Linked DNA regions of Arabidopsis thaliana. The protein of the gene in region 2 interacts with the protein of the main gene of each other region in a biochemical or structural test. Each region holds a gene or a part of one and is shown on either strand. Other genes may lie near its edges. The genes, in order: BES1 and ELF6.

Region 1 (4,523 bases), on a different chromosome or scaffold from region 2:
TCTAAAGCTCCCCTGATTCTTGTTTGTTTCCACTTGGACTTTGTGTAGATATACTACTGAAACACACTCCCGGGTCTCAACCTGCTCGGTGCCTTGAGCTATTTGCGAGGGAAATGGCTGCCGGATGGACCTCTTGGGGAAACGAACCGCTTCACTTTCAGGACTCGAGATACTTTTTGAAAGTTTAGTGGGCGCATTCCCTAGGGTGTAACCAAGAAAAAGGCTGGCTTGGGCCCTCATGATCGTTTTTCTCTATGACTCATTCTCAAGCTGGGGACAGTTAGGAGAGAACCCTTGGAAAGAAGTGGAAGGTTCGGTTCATCGCAAACGACATCGTTTGAAGAAGACAACACTAGAGTAAGCCTGAAAAAAGTATAGTGTTACTAAAGATTATTTTGTCTCAGAACTGTACCATCAATTTAGTAAGCTTTTTCCTTTTCCTTTCATAAACAGATGATGTTTCAGATAAAATTTAAATATATTATCAGTACAGTAAGATTACATACTATATTAGTATCACTATTCTGCTATTCACTAGATTTCTTTTTCTTTTTCAACAAAATATGAATAAAATAAAGGCAAAAGCGTGTTAAATATAAATTCAATAAGTGACTACTCGTTGGAAGATCATATCTGCTTTGATGGGTCTATTTGTGGGGCAAATCCACTATCCAGTTTTCCTTTTGTGTTCAATGAACTATACAATTGTCAAAAAAAAAAAAACATGAGAATTAAAGAAAATCATCATGACCAATGAAGAGCAGGTCCCAACAATAATTCCGAATTATAGGCTCTGATTGTTATAGCAATCAAACAATATGCTTACAAATCACAAAACAAAATTAACGATATTTCCAAATATAGAGCTTTCCAGTTTGACTTAATAATGTTGTGTGAATATCCTCACATTTCCATTTTCGACTCTCTTTAGTAAATTTTGAAGTAGTAGAATGATGTAGAATGTTTTGTTTTATCAATCACACAGTTTTGTGAAATCACGATTTCCATCCACTATTCAAGAAAAACATCAAGTGGAAGAAATAATAAACCAAAACCATCGCAACAAAATGCATATCACGAGTATAGAATGAACAAACTACACTGTCAAATACTTAATTTAGGACTTAAACTTCGCTTTCAGACAACTTGGTTCGGAAACTTGACCATCCGTCATGTTGATATACACAATCCATCTCAAATGTAGTAGTGAATCACTATATCAGCATGTGTTATCAAACGCAAGTTGTCACTAAGATCGGAGCTTCTAGTTCAAAATGTTGATAAGTATTACGAAAGTACAATTGAATATACCAATTATACATCCAAACACGTCCATGCTTCTCCACTCGAGTTCTCTTTGGAAATCTATATAATCCGTCGGTTTGGTATTTTACTAGTTGTACGTAGTGTCTCCCCTCATATGTATTGAGTCTTTATAGTTTGTTGCCTCGTATACGATAGAAAGTAAAGGCTAAAAAACCATACTATTTCATAAAGGGTTTATTTAGTTAACTTTTAATCTAAACCATGTATCACTCCATTTTACGTATATTCGTTTTCACAAATAATCTACTAAATAATTTTGTAATGTGATAAAATTAAAGAATAAACACATGATACATAAACAGTCAGGACAAAAGTAAGCACTCATTTTCTTCTATTCATACTATAGTGAAACACTATTTTATTTTTATCCATATACTATAGTGACAAATTAATCTAATCATTAAATGTTATGAGGCTCAAAACAATTTGTTTTCTTATTTAACATGGCCGATCCCCTCATAAACCAATCAGATGGTGTGTTTTCCGGTCATACTCGTGTAGGACCCACTTCATTACAATGGCCCCACATGTCTCTCTATCTTTTTCTCCTCTTTATAAAATCAGCTCCTTTTCTTACACAGATTTAGAGAAACACAACATAAAACGTACTTCTTCTTCAAAACGCGAAACCACACTGTAAGTTACGTACACCACCACCTATCCTCACCATTCATCATCGACACGTGGCTGGTTTAACTCAAATCAACGGTGAATTCTTTTTGCTTTTTTATTTTAAATAATGAATGAAAAGATTCTTCTATAATTCCAGCGAAGAAGAAAGAAAAAAAAAAGCGTATTCCTCGTGAGCACTAACTTCTCACTCATTCTTCTTCTTCAGCTGAATCCAAATACCCATTTCCATTTTTAACCGTGGTTGGATTGTTTTGAGAGTTGAAGGAAGAAGATGACGTCTGACGGAGCAACGTCGACGTCAGCTGCAGCTGCAGCAGCAGCGATGGCGACGAGGAGGAAACCGTCGTGGAGAGAGAGGGAGAACAATCGGAGAAGAGAGCGGCGGAGAAGAGCTGTTGCGGCGAAGATTTATACTGGTCTTAGAGCTCAAGGTAACTACAATCTTCCAAAACATTGTGACAACAATGAGGTTCTTAAGGCTCTTTGTTCTGAAGCTGGTTGGGTTGTTGAAGAAGACGGAACTACTTATCGCAAGGTCAGTATCAAACGCATTTTTACTTAGATCTGATGTTATCTGATGATTTAGCTGTTGAATCTGAAGATTTGGATTTGAAATTGGTCAAATTGGGATTTTCTTGGCTATGAATTCGAGGTTTTTAGCTGAGGAAGCTCAGTTTTATTCTAAAATTGGATCGAGATTCCTTGCGGAGAAAGTGACCTTTAGGGTTCTTCTTACTAATTTGAGAACCGAATTAGCTTTACTTTCACTTGGTTACTATATTTAGATCTCTCCTTTAGCTTTTGATTGATTGTGACATTGTGATGTTTTTGGTATTGTTCTATGAGCAACAGGGACACAAGCCTCTACCTGGTGACATGGCTGGATCATCTTCTCGAGCAACTCCTTACTCTTCCCATAACCAAAGTCCTCTTTCTTCCACTTTTGATAGCCCCATCTTATCTTACCAAGTCAGTCCTTCCTCTTCTTCATTCCCGAGTCCTTCTCGAGTTGGTGATCCACACAATATCTCCACAATCTTCCCTTTCCTCAGGAATGGTGGTATTCCTTCATCGCTTCCTCCACTTAGAATCTCAAACAGTGCTCCTGTCACTCCACCAGTGTCATCCCCAACTTCTAGAAACCCCAAACCATTGCCTACTTGGGAATCTTTTACCAAACAATCCATGTCCATGGCTGCTAAACAGTCAATGACTTCTTTGAACTACCCGTTTTATGCGGTGTCTGCACCTGCCAGTCCTACTCATCATCGCCAGTTCCATGCTCCGGCTACTATACCTGAATGTGATGAGTCTGACTCTTCCACTGTTGATTCTGGTCATTGGATAAGCTTTCAAAAGTTTGCACAACAACAGCCATTCTCTGCCTCTATGGTGCCAACCTCGCCTACCTTCAATCTCGTGAAACCTGCACCACAGCAATTGTCTCCAAACACAGCAGCAATCCAAGAGATTGGTCAAAGCTCCGAGTTTAAGTTTGAGAACAGCCAAGTTAAGCCATGGGAAGGGGAGAGGATCCATGATGTGGCTATGGAGGATCTAGAGCTCACGCTTGGAAATGGTAAAGCTCATAGTTGAGATGAAGTATACATGAACCTGTTATGTCATGTCGGAAGGAAGGATTGGAGAATGAGAATTAGTGTGTTGTTCATTCAGTTCATGGTTTTGGTTCTTGTTCTAGAATCGATATTCATTGTACCAGTGAGTTTGTTTCACAACGCATTATTTGTAGATAGAATGTTTAAGATGTATGTTTCTATTATCATTCCTTTTAGGTCTTGAAAACATTACAAATATATTACATGATTAAGTGGCTTGAAATGTAAATTATATATCGGATGATGAAACAGAGAAAAACAAGTGAGGCTAAAACAAAGACTTGGGATGTAATAACAAGATCAGAGAGGTTAAGAAAGAAAAAAAAGACTTGCGATTTTAGCCATAAGATACACAAAAATTCATAATACAAAGAGGAAAGTAGAAGGCATGAAGCAGTAAACATTGGAAAAGGGAGAAATATATTAGAATCACAAATGTCAAGAAACTCGGAAAGTTTTTTTTAGCCTATCTGCTTTTCAGGTGAATCATTCAGAACCATCGGGGAAGCTATCAAGCGCGTCTTGCTTACCGTTAACGTAGAACTCAACGACGGCTTGCATTCTATTGAGCTTATCTGGATGGTAATTCACATGAACAATCACTGGTTTCACTTTCTTCTTCAGTTCATGATTCTTTCTTACAGTCTTGAAAAGGACCTTACTGTTCATAAACTCATACATATCCATGACTCTCTTGGATGCATGTAGCGCAGTGTACTCAGGATGTGAAGGATAAAACAGTTCCTCGTTGAAAACCGCTTGGTCCCACACTTTAGCCTTAGAGAGTCTATCTGCCACGCGATCAAGCAGCTCGATTGATGGAATTGTAGGCCTCAAATAGAAAAACCCGGAATTGAAAACCCATATCCTCATAGTGTGAGCATACCGAGCCCATCCCATGGCTGGTTCATCAAACACATCATTGAACCCATAAGCCGTATGATTGTC
Region 2 (8,112 bases):
TGTTTTTTCATACCTCAATTCATCTTATCCAAGTTCAACTATTCCTCCATTTTTGTTGGTTTACATTAGCAGAGATAAAATATTATTTCATTTTTTGAAAAATAAATAAAAATAATAATGATGATACGTAAAAGATATCGTTACTGGCAGCATTATGTTGTGATTTTAATAAGATGCGTAATCTATATCGTTAGATAATAAAACCCTCTAAGGAATTTACAATACAAGTAAGAATTGGGATAATGATTAACTCACGTATACGTAACTACAACATCTGACATAGATTCTATTTTTAATACACGTGTTCCTCAATTCCAATTGACACATTACAATACTTCTCACGTAACCAAAAGCTCAAAACTTAAGTTTCCAATTATAATACATTTCCGTAAAAGACTGATATTTGTGACCTGGGAGAAAACAAGAATACTTTTTGTTAAACCGTTTGGGAACTGCTGCAACAAGTCTGTAGGCAATGAACCTAAGAAGAGATCTGGGATTAAATGGGTGAGTCATGCGTATTAACATTTTGAATCCAATCGTTACATGTTTAACAACGAATCTAAACAAGAGTGCGAGGCCTTCTCAAAAGTGGAAAGAAGTCACATCTATACTACATAAAGAGATATAGCAACGGTCTAAACCACTAGAAAAGAACTAAAAAAACCAACCAGATATTACATGTTACAACAACTCTCGATTCCAAAGAGAGGCCATTTCACTTTGTTCAGCCACCATTTTTAAGCATTCAGTGCCGTTTTTTCTATGTGACATAGTGCATGGTTTTACGTCTGTGGCGACTATAGTCAGATACAAACCTAAACGACAATCCACATCCATCGACCTTGCATATGTATGGTCGCTCTCCCGTGTGCAGACGCAAATGTTCTGTCCTCGCCCATTGCCATTTGAAAGTCATTGAACATCCTTTCCAAGAGCACTCGAAAGGTCTTTCATCCTTATGCACACGTTGATGAAGCACCAGATATTTGTGAGCCCTGAATTTCTTTCCACACCCTTCGTGAGTGCAACGGTTTCTCTTGTGAGTTTGTAATTTCGCTTTACTCTCAAAAGTCATCTTGCATCCCTCTAGGTAACAACGGTTGGGGTGAGTTGTCGTGGGGACTTCTTGCTGACGACTCCCTGAGCAAGCCTTTGGTGTTTTCTTCAGCCTTTTCGCAATGGGTTTCTTCTCTTCATCACTCGTTTCAGTGTGCTTTAATGAAGTTTCACATGTTGCTTTCCTCTTGCCCCTTGACCTCAACCCTTCACAAGGACTCCTTATGAAACCAATGCTACTCTCTGGATTATCATTTGTCTCAGACTCTGATTCTATTTTCCGCTTCTTCTTTGCTTCTCCCATAGAATTGGGAGCCTCAATAACTTCGGTGTTTTCTGAGCTTGAAACTTCACTCTCCATGCTAAGCTCATCATTTAGAACTTGCAATCCATTTGAAGAAGCTTCATCACCATTGCTCGAACTTAATATATCGCTACTTTCCAAAGGTTCACCATCATGGGTCATGTCAACAACTAAGTTCTCACTGGCCGTGTTTATGTCAGGAATTTCCATACCCACATGAGCTGAAGAATGCTCAGTGTGCAGAATTATTTCAGAGCACAAGTTTTCTCTGGTAGACACAGCTTCTGCTCCCTCCACCTGTTCGTGATCACCAAATACAGCTTCTCTTTGGGTTGGTTTCACAATCTGTGATTGCTGTTCATCCTCAATATTAGTGACAGTAGACCTAGGTTCTCCAAACTCTTGGTCACTCATTTCAACCGCTTCCTGAATACCACGTACAGACACATCACTGCAGACATAATCACCAGACAATTTTCTTGGTCCGTCATGATTATCACCTGTAGAAACAAGTATGGTCTGGCTTGCCACAACATGACTACCTGAGTTGGAGCCATTATTATTGCTGGTCATAGAGTGTCCTTGGTGCTGCTCTCTGGATATGGAGGTTAAGGTTAGGTCAGCAGAGTCTCCATTCACCATACTCAAACTATTTGTGACATTCCCATCTAAATCTGAACCAAACTTGACAGTGATCTCGGGATGTTCTTGCCCATGTCCCACAGTGAAAGATGAGCTACAAGGATTTATGGAAAATGATACCCCAATGACCCTTCCAGAGTCTCCAATCTCACTGTTCATCTCAGAACGAATTGCACTATCCAGATGTGACCTACTGCTAAAATTTTTACATGTCTTATCAAAATCTTTTGATTTAGCTAGGGTAGCTAGCTCCTGAACTTGTTCTGCTGAAGGCTTTGGATTCAACTTTTTCTTTCTCGAGTACTGGATGATCTTTTCTTCCTTTTTTCCGGTCTGAGAATCCAAATTATCCCTTAATTTTCCATCTGCTTTTACTTCAAGATGTTCACAAGGTGTGAAACTTGAGGTAGAACTGGGTTTAGCTTTTGAGCGTGATTTTCTCTGCAGCCATCTGATAGTTGTAAAATCTAGCATCTGGCTTGTATCGGAGAACAAGCCACCTAGTGACAGTGCATGCTGAATTTTCTTAGTAGGGGAATTTTTCCTCACTTTCACACAGTACCGTAAATTGATGCCAAGTTCTGAGGTCCAGTCTACACTGTGTTCGTATTTTTCTTCATCTTCAATTGCAAGATCAATTAGACTCAACTCTTCCTGAGATGCACTCTCTAACAGGACATCATCATAGCTGAAAGGGACTTTGACCTCCTCTGCCACTATAGCCGCATGTGCCTTGAATTTTTGAAAGTCTGCAACAATTTTAGAAAAAGGTTAACAGAATATCAACAATCAACAGACTTTTAGATAATTTTTATTTCCAGGGGGGTGTAAAAATCATAACTCTCTTCTATTCAACAATTTATCAAAAAGTATCGCAAATGATGCAGACAAACCTTTATGGCAAATAACAAGGAATTTCAATCCACCTCTTGATTGCAGCAGTCTCTGAAGTTCAATAGTGTGTTCGAGGCAGAAAATGCGAGGTCTTATATATCTAGAAGACGTTTTCCATTCGCAGTCAGACTTTTCTGATGACAGTGTCATAATTTCCTGAGCATCTGTAGAGTTAATAGAAACAGAATTAATAGACTTTAAAAGGCATATGATGCAGTTCATAGCTTGGATAAAAACTGATCTGTTACCTGTCTCTCCTTGTCTCTCTGAGAGATCTTTTAATGCTTTTTCAGAAGGCTGTACCACAGACATAAAGGGGAAGCCAAGAACGCCACAAGCCACACATGGCAAGGTTCCAGTATCAACTTGGAAATCGTTAAGCAGACCATCATCATCGTCGTAGTATACATCATTCAGCTTCTCCATGAACAAGCTCAATTCCTCTAAAAGAGAAGTCTTTTCTTTATTCTGCAATTCAGAATGACCCTCCTCAAGTTCTTTTTTTGCCACTGCTGGAGGTGAAACAGCAGAAGCACCAGCAACTCCAGCAGCTGCAAGAGCCAGTGCGCTATGACGCGGAAGTAAATCAGGGTCCCACATCACCAAACGAGAGCCTGGTTCTCGAAGAAGAACAGATAAATTCTTGTTTTCGTTCAATATATCTTCTACAAAAGCTCTTTTCACAAGGAACTCTCTTTCTTCTCTCTGCCGATCTCTTAGTCGGGAGCTACGACCACCTGGTAGCAATGATCGTGGCACTCTGGAAAATGTAATAATTACAAGAATATGAGCATTGACATGGTCCATCAAAACGTACAGGTTATATGACAAAGAGACCATGGTAACCTGCCTTGAAACAAAGGACATAGTCAAGAGATATAGCAGCTGCTGATGGGACAGCATGGGTAGATAATTCATGGCTGCCCGACGCACAGCAGCTTCCTTTGCTACGTTGAGCCACTGTGGGGTTCCAAAATTAGCGGCTTCCCCACAGTTAAAACCTAGGAAAAGTTATATTAAACCCGCTTAGTTATGGATTCCGAAAAGTTTGTAATTCGTATTCCTAACCTAAGCCAAACTATCCACTTTTTTTACTATGCGCCTGAAATAACTACCCAATAGAAATATGATTCTTCATTCTTCTGATTGGAAGATCAATCCTCACCTCATGCTATGTCGATAAACACCCTTTTTCTCCACAGCTTTATTCAATTTCTCACATTTTCTCAACCACTTTGTAGAATGCAAATGGAATGAACAGAATTACTAAGACTTGAAAGAAATGTTTGAAAAAAAAGGCACTTTACCGTGGCTGAATCCTACATGATAAGACCTCGGAAAAGTCACAACAAATTCACCAGGATTTTGTACCAACCTACGTAGGCAAACAAACATAAATAAACATAGATATAGCAGAGAATGGAAGTAGTTATAAGAAAACACTGCCTCATATCTCCACATAACAGAAGTGAAAGTTTAAATGAAATAAAAGGCCTACCTACAGCAGGGAATGCCAGATGCAACTATCATCTCAGGTGATACAAGAGTTGTCTTTTCGCCTAGTTGGGTGAGAGCAGCTGACAGTAACAACGAGCAGAGAAGTGTTAATGAGAAACAGGACAATGCTTTTCCTAAGAGTATTGCAATCTCTTCTATCTATCATAGCGCAAAAGCAATAAGACCTACGACAATTAACCACAATTAATAAACTCTCTTCATACCATGGTCAATGTTAGCCATATTTTCATTTGCAAAGTAGGAAAATTATGCTAATAAAGAAAACGTCAATGCGGTAATCATTCTAGGAAACCTCATTTTTCACATGCATTATAATAACAACATATCTCTATAAATACAGAAACAGTATATCATCTTTAGCAGTAGTTTTCAAAAAGAACGTACCCAGTTGGTCAATGTTCCTGCCATAAGAATTTTTGCGGATAACCTCTTCAAAGTCAAGCGCATAATCACAAGGGACAGCGTACCAAGTCTTTGGTGAGCCAGTGTGAAGATAATTCATACTGTGAAGCTCATGATCCTCAACGTGCCAGGCAAACCAACTGAACAACATACCGATATAAACCATGGGAGATGTAACACCAGGAATGTCATCTGGCATGAAACGTGTAACAGAACCAGGTGAACGTGCAATCATCTGAAGGTTCCACGAACTGTTGGAGAGCTTCCAGCCTGCAGTACCTTCCATTTCATCAACAATATCCATGTTCTTCTGCTTGGACGAATCCTGAGATGATAAACTTGTAGAAGCAAGGGGTGCCTTTTCTACCTCAGGCGATGACTTTTCACCGTTCTTACCTGATGGATCATTATTTTCTGTCTTCCTCTGATAAAATCCCCTGCCCCTCCTCTTCCTCTGCCGGAAATGCCTGAAATGATCCTCTGGCTCACCGAAAGCAGAGCCAGGCACGTCATTAGCATACTCTATATATATAGGCTTCTCTAAAGCCGCTTTCCAGAACAATGCCTCAATGACAACTGGTGCCAGTTCCTTAACCGTTCCTAATTGGGTTTTGTAGAAAGCTTTCGACTTAGCTTCAAACTGATCCAATGTATAAACGCCTCCACTTTGCCAAACCTGCTTAACACCACTCCTTTGAGAATTACTCTTACCCTTCTCTCCTTTGTTTTTTTTCACAGTTTGGCCTAACTCTTGCTGCCTAGTGGTGAATACAGCTCTATCCTCTTTACACACCTTCGAAATGTCAACATCTGAAACCAATTCGGGACACTTCAAAAGAGACTTGTTCAAGTTGTAGAAAACATACTTTTTCGATGGCTTGGGTAAAGGAGGAATGATCTTGCAAATCCCAAAGGCACTAGCTTCCTTTTCGATTTTCGATATGTAAGCAATGGGATCTGCAAATTCAGTGTCTGTAGGTCTAAACACAGGTGCCAATGGCAAAGCTTTAAGCCAATTCGGAATTTCAACATTACCCATCTTAAATTCCCAATTCCGTAAGACCCAGCACTTCAAACACCAAAATCAGATCAATCCCACAATTAACAAGATCAAGAACAGAAACCTAGTGGAGAAACCCAGCACTCTAAAACCCTAGATTCGAAAATTCCGATGCCGGTTTCAAAGATGTATCTTCCTGGCTTCTTCAAATCGGGACCAAATCAACACAATGAAATTTTACGTAACGGTACGATCAACAACGGCAAAAGCAGCGGAATCTTCATGAGGAGAAGAAACGATATGAACTGTGCGGTTGCGCAACGACGGAGAAACGGAGGAGAAGCAAAGAGAGAGAAAGTTGTGTAAAGAAATTGTTAAATCTTGAAAATTCCTAATTTACTTTAATGTTTGCCGTTGGCGCATGTTAGCGTGGGATAACTAAACTCTTACTAGTGTGCGCGCAGTATCAGATAACTTAAACCAGCGGTTCGGTGGTTCGTGGACCAGACTGACTCTTTTACGGACCAGTTCTGGACTTTTGGATTACTGTTTTCGCATTTAGTAGCATTAACTATTAAAAGCCCACTACGGTATGGCCCTATTTATAATAACCAGTTTTTGAAAGAAAGAAAAAAAAAACTGTTTTCTTTCTCATTAATATAGACATGATGAATTCTCATTTGATAAACTCTAAAGAGAATAAGAAAGAAAGAAAAAAGCGACGCCGACTAAAAGGGCGATCATCAATTTCCAATCGCCGTTCGTGCCGATCATAACAGCAGACACCACCATCGCCGTCCCTCTTTTGGGCTTATGAACTTCTCTCTCACGAAGAGTTTCCATCAAATTCAGAGTGAGCGGAGCTTGAAGACCGGAGATATTCTCGTTTTCTGCCGGAATTAGGATAAGTTTTTGTGTTTTCAACAAGTTTGGATTAATCTTGTGGGTTGCATATTAGTTTGCAGAGTTTGGTTGAGATCGCCTAGGGTTTGCTTGTACAAACCTTCATCATCTGGATTTGCTCTGGTTTTCTACTTTATTGATAAGTTAGTGAAGCTTTGAAAGGAAAGTCAATTGCATAAGATAGATAGCTGTGTTTATAAAATCTACCAAAGCAATTGTTCAAGTCCGAGCAAATTTCTAAGGTTATTGAGAAGTTGTTGAGACTCCAATGAGTATACTAAGTTGGAATTGTCAAGGGGCTGGGAACACTGAGACAGGCCGTCGTTTAAGGGAGATGCAAAGAACGTTTTTTCCAGATTTTCTATTTCTCATGGAAACTAAACAAAAAAAGAAGTATGTTACGAGATTACAAGACTCTTTAGGTTATGATAACTGTTTCATGGTTGATCCAGTAGGATTGAGTGGTGGCTTAGCCGTTTTTTGGAAGAATTGCTACAAGGTTGAAGTGTTGAGTGCTGATAATCGCATAATTGACTTGAAGGTGAATATAGGGTCAATGATGTTTTTCCTCACTTGTGTCTATGGCGATCCAGTGAGAGCTCTTAGACAGTTAGTATGGGAACAACTTTCTGGGATTGGCATTGGTAGAAATGAAGCTTGGGTAGTGCTTGGTGACTTCAATGAATTGATGACCAATACCGAGAAAATGGGAGGACCTCTCCGCAATGAATCATCTTTCTGGGATTTTCGTAACATGGCTCATAATTGCAAATTGGCAGAGATAAGAAGTTCTGGAAACTGGTTTTCTTGGGCAGGCTGGCGAGATAAAATATGGATTCAATGTCGGCTTGACCGGAGTTTCGGTAATGACGAATGGTTTCAATTATTTCCTAGAGCTCATATGGAATATCTTGATATGTGGGCATCAGATCATCGACCTATTTTGATTACCTTTGCTTCGGAGCAAAGTGTTAATGCCAAAGGAAGGTTTTGTTTTGATAAGCGGTGGTTATCAAAACCAGGAATTGTTGACGTAGTGAAAAGAGGATGGTGTGGTGGACAACAAGATATAGAGATCTCTTTGGCAGAACGTATAGGAAGATGTAGATCAGAATTATATCGTTAGAAAAGATCATCAAATACTAACTCTGAGATAAGGATGGTGAAGTTAAAAGAGACTCTTGAGAAGGAAGTTTCTAAAATGCACCCAGACCCCAACGTAATGCAGAGGACAAAGACTGAGTTAGCTTTTGCTTATAAAGAGGAAGAGATATTCTGGAAACATTGCAGCAGGGAACAATGGCTTAACACAGGGGAAAGAAACACTCGTTACTTTCATAACTGTGTGAAGAGTAGAAAGGTAAAAAATAGGATCTTGATGCTTGTGGAT

The links.
Region 1: the proteins of ELF6 (region 2) and BES1 form a complex in vitro, tested with the Arabidopsis thaliana proteins (one study listed by BioGRID).

The regions. Positions count from the first base shown.
Region 1 is NC_003070.9:6,686,611-6,691,133, forward strand, and holds BES1 (Brassinosteroid signaling positive regulator (BZR1) family protein), read left to right. Parts: upstream 1-1,924; 5' UTR 1,925-2,069; coding exon 2,070-2,128; exon of another isoform or gene 2,129-2,223; coding exon 2,224-2,494; intron 2,495-2,811; coding exon 2,812-3,555; 3' UTR 3,556-3,801; downstream 3,802-4,523. Other genes in the region: AT1G19340 (Methyltransferase MT-A70 family protein), read left to right, coding at 49-188; RRA3 (Nucleotide-diphospho-sugar transferase family protein), read right to left, coding at 4,062-4,523. UniProt on the Arabidopsis thaliana protein: Positive regulator of brassinosteroid (BR) signaling. Transcription factor that activates target gene expression by binding specifically to the DNA sequence 5'-CANNTG-3'(E box) through its N-terminal domain.
Region 2 is NC_003076.8:1,167,290-1,175,401, reverse strand, and holds ELF6 (Zinc finger (C2H2 type) family protein / transcription factor jumonji (jmj) family protein), read right to left. Parts: upstream 6,250-8,112; 5' UTR 6,186-6,249; coding exon of another isoform or gene 5,991-6,185; 5' UTR 5,859-5,990; coding exon 4,802-5,858; intron 4,477-4,801; coding exon 4,398-4,476; intron 4,275-4,397; coding exon 4,207-4,274; intron 3,901-4,206; coding exon 3,750-3,900; intron 3,660-3,749; coding exon 3,148-3,659; intron 3,064-3,147; coding exon 2,899-3,063; intron 2,755-2,898; coding exon 764-2,754; 3' UTR 410-763; downstream 1-409. Other genes in the region: AT5G04238 (uncharacterized protein), read left to right, coding at 5,991-6,185. UniProt on the Arabidopsis thaliana protein: Histone demethylase that demethylates 'Lys-27' (H3K27me) of histone H3, thus acting as a positive regulator of gene expression. Demethylates tri-methylated (H3K27me3) and di-methylated (H3K27me2) H3K27me. Inactive on H3K27me1, H3K4me3, H3K9me2 and H3K36me3.